2 linked regions of the Callithrix jacchus genome follow. The protein of the gene in region 2 purifies or fractionates together with the protein of the main gene of each other region. This does not show direct contact. Links are inferred from orthologs where the notes say so. Each region holds a gene or a part of one and is shown on either strand. Other genes may lie near its edges. The genes, in order: FKBP5 and SGK2.

Region 1 (3,814 bases), on a different chromosome or scaffold from region 2:
TAAATCCTCTCCTTTGAAATCAAGAAGCTCTACCTAGAAAGCAAAAAGGAATTTAGCTGAGAAAAGATCAAATAAAGCCAATTTAATATATGTGAAGGCAAGGGCAACCAATTCTTTCATTTTATAAAATAAATGTTTAAAAATATATATATATATTCATCTATGTATCTTAATTATTGGAAAAGTAGCAAACAAAACCCACTATATTTTCTATACTTGGAACAAATTTCATGTAATAATAATGTCTTGGACTATATCCTAAGGGACTGCAGTACAAAGATAGGAAATACTAGGAAAACTACCCTGTGGGCAAAAAGCCAGAGCTACAAGGTAGTGATATAAAATTATTTTATTTGAGGCCATGACTTTCCCACCCTGGATTTAGAGTTTCCTTCTCAAAATGTAAGAATAAATCTCACGAATGTGGCCTATGACTGAATACAAGGTGTATCTTACCTAGCTAGGGTGGTTCTTAAAAATCAAGTTTTGCCAAATACATGTCATTCAGCAGAGGATGAATGATGTTTTATCACTATCAACAGCTTCTAGAGAGGTGAAATCTATAATATAGAAATCTTTATAATATGAAAGTACCTGCAACTTGACATAGGCATATTTCAACATCTATCACCAACATTTCCATCCTGTATTCTGGTCAGTTTTGAGTATATCACACTCACACCACAGACCAGAATCTTTATTTCCAAGTGTAGTGTCTTGTTTATTTGGATATGAACTTTCTGTGCTAGAAGCATGTTTCTAAGAAAGTACTGGCACGCACAACCTTGGGTGTGTGGGAAACAATTCAAGAAGCCATGCTCCAAAATAAATAAGTTGGATCTGATACTCTATAGCAAGCTTAGCTCCTTTTCCCACTGTTGCTTCAAAGCCATCTCTATTATAGAGCAGATGCTGACAAGGCAGCATCACACACATACTTGCCTCAAAAAAGAGAGTTGCATTTGAGGGAATTTTAGGAAGACTGCCAGTTGCTCCATATGCATATTCTGGTTTGCACAGTAAATGGCATATCTCTCCTTTCTTCATGGTAGCCACCCCAATGTCCCATGCCTTGATGACTTGGCCTAAGAGAAAGGAAAAGGTAGTTGAAAGCTATAAGGCTTCTTTTAAAAGATTTAACTTTCATAAACAAATATTCAAAGTTCCAGTTCTTCATACTGTGTATTCAGCTAGAACGTATGGGCCACAAGATGACAGAACTCAGTAGAAGTTACACACAAATAAATAAATTAAGATTTTTTTTAAGGCTATCATAAAAGATTCCCTGGTGATTGGCCCAGCACTTTGGGAGGCTGAGGCGAGAGGACTGCTTGAGCCTAGGAGTTTGAGACCAGTCTAGGCAACACAGCGAGACCTCATCTCTACATTAAAATAACAAAAACAAAAAACAATAACCAAAAAAAACCACAGCTGGGTATGGTGGTGCACAACTGTAGTCCCAGCTACTCCAGAGGCTATGGTGGGAGGACTGCTTGAGCACAGGAGCCCAGGAGGTTGAGGCTTCAGTGAGTCATGATTATGCCACTGCATTCCAGCCTGGGTGACAGAGTGAGACCCTGTCTCAAAAAGGATTCCCTGCTGAAAGGAATGAAAGTAGTATAAATTCCTAAACTACTCAAAAATGAAGTCTTTGAAAACTAGTGGTAACATTATCCATGAAATATGGCTATGTTGCAATCGTTGCTTAATTTATCATTTCAACTATATATAATAAGTGCATATTTTCTAGGCAGAGACAGAACAAAAATAGTACTGAAAAACAGAGTTTGTCCTAAGGAAGCTTATAATTTCGTTGGGTAGACAAAAAACAACAAAACAAGAAGTAACCAGAGTATAAATTGCAAAGGGTCCATGAGACACATTTCTTCTCAAAATTTATAATCAGAAGAATGTTTCTTTTGTAGAATCAGCTCCCACTGATTCTACATTGTAGTGAGTTGTATAAGTATTTCATCATTTATTACAATGTAATAATAATAGAAATAAAGGGCACAATAAATGTAATGCATTTGAATCATCCCAAAACCACCCCCCTCACCAGGCTCCCGACCTGGGTCCATGGAAAAACTACCTTCCACAAAACTGGTCCCTAGAGCCATCAAGGAAACTAAGTTAAATTTATTGCTCAATTGTAGAACTATATTAGGTTATATAATTGTAATCTCAATGTTTATAGTTCCTATGATGTGCATCATTATCTTACTGTAAGTAGTATCAAGTCCTTTGGGAAAGAGTAGAAAATTTAGGCAATTCAAAAGGCTAAACTACATTTTGGCTGGGCGTGGTGGCTCACACCTGTAATCCCAACACTTTGGGAGGCCAAGGTAGGCAGATCACTAGAGGCCAGTAATTCAAGACCAGCCTGGCCAACATGGTGAAACCCTGTCTCTACTAAAAATACAAAAATTAGCTAGGCATGGTGGTGCGGGCCTGTAATCCCAGTTACTTGGGAGGCTGAGGCAGGAGAATTGCTTGAACCTGGGAGGCAGGGGTTGCAGTGAGCAGAGATCACGCCACAGCACTCCAGCCTAGGCTACAGAGCGAGACTCTTGTCTCAAAAAAAAAAAAAAGGCTAAATTACAAATGAGGTACTCTATCAAAAACATTAAGTATCTGGGGACTGGGCACATTGGCTCATGCCTGTAATCCTGGCACTTTGGGAGGCAGAAAGATCCCTTGAGCTCAGGAGTTCGAGACCAGCCCAGGCAACATGGTGAAACCCCCATCTCTACAAAAAAATGTATTTAAAAAATTAGCCAGGCAAGGTGATGCCTGCCAGCTACTCAGGAGGCTAAGGTGGGAGCATCGCTTGGGCCCAGAAGGTCGAGGATGCAGTGAGCTGAGATCATGCCACTGCACTCCAGCCTGGGCAGCAGAGTGAAGACCCTGCCCTGTCTCAAAAAATAAAAACAAAAATTTAAGTATTCAAAGTGGGATCAAATAAAAGACGAACCCCAGAAGAAGTGAATTTAAAATGAGCTGGTGGTAAGATATTAAGACAAGGGAAACCCTACATAACAGTATGTAAGCAGGGATAGATAAAACATTTGTCATTCATGACTTTAGCTTAATCTTTATTAACTACTACAACTTTTCAAAATGTCAGCTACATTTATTTCAGTTAAAAATGTATGTAAGTGGCCAGGAACACTGGCTCATACCTGTAATCTCAGCATTTTGGGAGGCCAAGTGGGAGCATCCGCTTGAGCCCAGGAGTTTTAAGACTGGCCAGGGCAACATTGTGAGACTCCATCTCAACAAAAATTTTAGAAATTAGTGTGGCATGGTGGCACATGCTTATAGCTCCAGGTATTTTGGAGGTTAAGACAGGAGAATAGCTTGAACTCAGGAGTAAGAGGCTATAGTGAGCAATGATTATGTCACTGCACTCCAGCCTAGCTGACAGCAAGATCCTGTCTCTTGAAAAAAAAAAATTATTCAAGTAATACATGACTATTATTAAAACACCCACGAGAGAGATGAAATGTGAAAGCTGAAAGGTCATCCATTTGCTCCTTATAAGTCACTGTTATGTTTCTTTGGTATTCTACTGTGTGCTGTCACTTTTAAAAAAAATTAAACACCCAAATGACAGCAAAGTAGACATTCAGTTCTTAACTATTTTTTCATTTAATATATATCTTCATCCTCCTTCTCCATCAGTAGAAAGGCAGATGTAAACTTTAGAGGTCAAAAATGCAGCATATTGTAACCTCAGACCACCAGGATTTGAATACCAAGTCTGCCCTTTACTATCTGTGTAAACTTGTAAAAGTTACTTAATCTCCGTGCT
Region 2 (4,245 bases):
AATCTGAGGCCCTATGGGTGACTTTGGATTTCCGACAACAGTACAGGGCCTCCTGCCTGCCCCTGCTTTTGTCTGCAGGTGTGAGAGCTCTCTCTTTGCACATCCACGTGGCAGCAGGGGCTGAAAGAGGCTGCCGAAGGGAAGACCCAGGCTTCCCACCCTCACCAAGTCACTCACTTTCCCGTAGTTCCCTTTGCCAATGACTTTGAGGAAGTCGAAGTCCGTGGGCCGGGCACTGGGGGAAAGGAAAAAACATGGACAGCGTTTGCAAGCTCTGGGAACCTGGTGCCTGAGAGCAAACCTGGGCTTCTTTTGAACTTTAGAGTGGGGAAAGCCTTTCGGAAGACATGCCTCCTCATCCCTCAAGAACCTCATGTTCTCCCAGCCAAGAGGGGGCTGGTAAGACTCACTCTTGCCCCAGGGGAACTCAAATGCAAGTTAAACAGGCAGGGTGAAGATAAAACCAGACATAATGCACAGAAGGCCTGCATAGGAGGTGGGGATCTGGAGCCAAAGCCCCCAAGAAGGGCCTGCAGTGTGGGGAGTTACTAACACTGCAGACATTTGGGGGACATTGCAGGAAGAGGGTTCAGCATGGGCAGAGGCTGGGGATTCGTGGGAGATAAGGCTGGGGGGAGGTCCTGGGCCCAGACGGCAGAGAGGCTTGAATGCTAGACCAGAGAATTTGGATTGTATTCCCAAAGCAAGGGGAGCCAGGTATGAGGGGAATCAAGTAGGAAAGGTGTTTGAGGGACCAGAACTCACTTTGGGTTGGCCGAAGGCCCCAGGTTGATGTTCCCATTGGCCCTGGAGGGCTACAGAAAGAAGTGATTGCAATCAGCAGGCCTAGTCCTTGGCCACCTTCCTTTCTCCTGGCCCAGGCCCTGATGCCACCTCTACCAACTCTTCTAGGCCTGCCTGCCTTCTTTTTTCCTTCTTTTCTCCTTCCTTCCCTCCTCCCTCCCTTCCTTCCCTTCATTCCTCCTTCCCTCCCTCCCTCCTTCTTTCTACCTATCTACCTGCCCACTAATCCACATATTCACCGTCTTACTCACTTCTCAAAACAGCCTTGGGAGGCAGCTGGCTGTTGTGCGAATTGAGTAGGTGAGGAAACTGAGCCCAGAGAGGTGTTACCCAAGGTCTCGCAGGCAAGCAAGTTGGGATAGAACCCAGGTGTCTTCATGACAAATCCCACAATTTTTCCACTCTATCTCGAAGCCCTTGCTCAGATCTCTCCTCTGGCTCATTTCTAAGTGCTCGAAGTGACCCTGTCAGCCCTGACATTCTCTGGGACAGCCCATGGGGCTATCTGTCTCCATGGATTTCCTTAGCCTCGGGAGGAAGTGGGCCCCCAGTGATGGGTGGGGGACCAAGAACTACTTACCTGTGGACTGGGGGTCCCAGCTGGGCTAGAGTTCATTCTGTAGCAATGATCAGGCTGCTCTGGGGGCACAGGGAGGCACAGACATGAGAGAGCTGGTGTTGGGGGGTCAGCTTCACCCATCCAGGGCTTCAGGCACCAGCACCCTCTCCAGCCCCCACTACTTGTGCACCCGCCACAGCCTGAGGGTTTCCTACCCCAGAGGTAAGCAACCCTTGTGTGGACAGAACAAGACATGATATCCCTGGACCCAGACTTCCTAACAAACATCTCAGAGTGGGTAGAGGGGGATGGTCAGGGAATCCAGCAGAGCTTAAGATGGGACTGGAGACTTCTGAGTCTCTACTCAGAGAGGCTCCCCCAGCCCAGGTGCTCTGAGAGGCCCAGCCCTAGCAAGCCCTTGGAGCAAGCTGCAGAACTGCTGGCTAAGGAAGACTGTGGCCCCTCGCCAATGCCACACGGCCCACCACACTGCCACTCCCTCTCCTAGGCTGACTCTGACGGCCCTTCTGCCAGGCTAAAGACTGTGGCCCCTCCCAGGCTGAGTCTTTTCAAGATTCGGGGTCAGCCAGGGCAATAAGACCTCTGTGAGTCAGGGTAGCTCCAGAAGTCCAAGATGACCAGCACTGGAAGGACCTTTTCAGGGCATGAAGTCTGAACCCTTCTCCCATTTCACAGGTGAAAGGCCTATGGCCTAAAACAGGACCTTCCTAAGGCTACACAGTTTGTGAAGCACAGGCTGGGCTCTCCGGACTCCCATAGAGGAACAATGGCAATGCTGAATTACTGTGGGCACTCCCAGCTGGGCTCTGTGCTATTACCTCCTTGCCAGAAGGAATTCTGCCCAATGCCTCAGGAATGGCAGCTGCCCTGGAAGCCTTGGGCTGGGGCTACAGAGAGACTCAAGACTGGCTAGCATCTATCCTGGAGCAAACAACAGATGGTGTGACCAGCTGATCTATGCAGCCAGGAGTAGTGTCTTCCTTGCTTCCACCCTGCAGTGGAGAAGAGGCCAGGGTGCCTAGGCCCTGGCACAGATTGCTTGGGGCCCCACAACCTCATCCTTGCTTGGCAAAGACTGAGAGCAGAGATCTCACCTGAGAGATCTCCCAGCACTGTGCATCCCAAGACCTTAGTCCTAGCCCACTATGGGGCCTGGGCTGCAGCCCAGCCTCTCTGAGTAGAGACTTCCCATCTTTACAAGAGGGATCCTGGAGGCACGAACCTCATGGCCTTCGTGGGAACAGAGAAAGTGAAGGGGAATTGAATTGAGAGGCTCCCCCAGCCCAGGTGCTCTGAGAGGCCCAGCCCTAGCAAGCCCTTGGAGCAAGCTGCAGAACTGCTGGCTAAGGAAGCGCAGGCTGCCCCTCGCCAATGCCACACGGCCCACCACACTGCCACTCCCTCTCCTAGGCTGACTCTGACGGCCCTTCTAACAGGCCCTGGCCTCCCAGGTCCCACATACCTGTAAATCTGAGGAGAGGCCTTTAGGAGAACCAGCAGCTGGAACTGAAGACAGGCAGTGGACAAGAGAGCCTCTCTCTGTTCTCCCAACAAGGGCCTAAGTGTCTGCGCCCGGTGCCGGCCGCGCCCCAGCACAGAGCTCACAGCTCCCGGCAGCAGCAGCGAGGGGGCTGGTTGATGTCATGTGGGATCCAGCAGAGCTTAAGATGGGACTGGAGACTTCTCTTCCCTGGGGACACCATCTCACCCTGGAGGGGAGAGGGGTAGGAGTGGGTAATAGACCCAGGAGAGCCCTGGAGACCCCTGGGGCTTGTTAGACTGTGTGGGTCAGGGTGTGTGCTGTGCAAGTGTTTTGTGCATAGAATGCTTTTGTGTGTGTCTGTCTGTGGCTCTGTGTTTCAGGCATTTGTGTCTGTATGAGTCTGCATAGATGACCTCATGTATGTGTCAGTGTGACCATATTTGTACATTTATGTCAGCCTGTGTCTGTGCATCTGTGACTGTGTGTATCATGTGTTTGGTGTGCATATGGATGTGTTTCAGTGTGTCTCTGTGTAGTACATGTCAGTGGAGTGTGAGTCTGTATGTGGATGTCTGAAGGTGTGTGTTCAGACCAGTATGGGCGTCTATTAATTTGTGTTTATAGGTAAGTCATTGTGTGTTTGTGTTCATATTGGTGTATATCAACAAATTTGCTCTGTGTGTGTGCGTGCACACACACATGTAGGGGGCCTGTGTATATGATCCCTGTGTAGACCATCTGGAACTGAAAAGGTGCTTCCACAGACGTCAGCCATGGCAGCTGAGAGCCCTCTGCCTACCAAAAACCTGCATGTGTTTCAGAGGAAGGAACCTGGAGCCTGGGTGTCTGGCTCAGTCTGGCCTGTCTTGGTCTTTGCTGAGCACCTAGTCTTTTGGGCTTTTCCCTGCAGGCTCCTCAAGGGCTCCAGCCCAGTCCTCAGGGCAGGCCCAGTGGGCCTGTGTGGCTCTCCTACTGTGTGAGAAACCGTTGCAGAGAGTACCATGGCTCACGGAGGCCTCACTGCCTGGGGCGGTCATTAGGTACTCACAGGGTCCCTTCCTCTCCCTAGGAGCTCAAGGGGTGGGCAGATGTTCTGGGGAATGAAGGCGTCGATGGGCCCATAGGCCCTGCCCTTCTCAAACTTTCTGTGTGGCTACAGTATACTACAGGGGAGGGACATATGGCACTAGAGCCTAGAAAGTTGGTCAGGGAGGGAACTGGGGCCAGTGGCCTCAGGAGTTCTCTGTGGGCTCCGAAATGCAGAGGATCTGAAAGTGTTGACTGGAGAAAACCCGAGTGCACGATATCAAGGCCTTCCATCTTTGAACAAAACAGAAATGTGGAACCAATTCATGAGCAGCAGGATGTCGTGTTGACA

The links.
Region 1: the proteins of SGK2 (region 2) and FKBP5 purify together in Homo sapiens (affinity purification with mass spectrometry; 3 studies listed by BioGRID and IntAct, with this or other methods). This does not show direct contact. The link is inferred for Callithrix jacchus from reciprocal best matches to the Homo sapiens genes SGK2 and FKBP5.

What each region holds. Positions count from the first base shown.
Region 1 is NC_133505.1:43,920,296-43,924,109, forward strand, and holds part of FKBP5 (peptidyl-prolyl cis-trans isomerase FKBP5), read right to left. Parts: intron 1,086-3,814; coding exon 943-1,085; coding exon of another isoform or gene 939-942; intron 34-938; coding exon 1-33. UniProt on the Homo sapiens protein: Immunophilin protein with PPIase and co-chaperone activities. Component of unligated steroid receptors heterocomplexes through interaction with heat-shock protein 90 (HSP90).
Region 2 is NC_133506.1:38,947,832-38,952,076, reverse strand, and holds the start of SGK2 (serine/threonine-protein kinase Sgk2), read right to left. Parts: upstream 2,910-4,245; 5' UTR 2,847-2,909; intron 1,444-2,846; 5' UTR 1,421-1,443; coding exon 1,385-1,420; intron 816-1,384; coding exon 766-815; intron 236-765; coding exon 178-235; intron 1-177. UniProt on the Homo sapiens protein: Serine/threonine-protein kinase which is involved in the regulation of a wide variety of ion channels, membrane transporters, cell growth, survival and proliferation.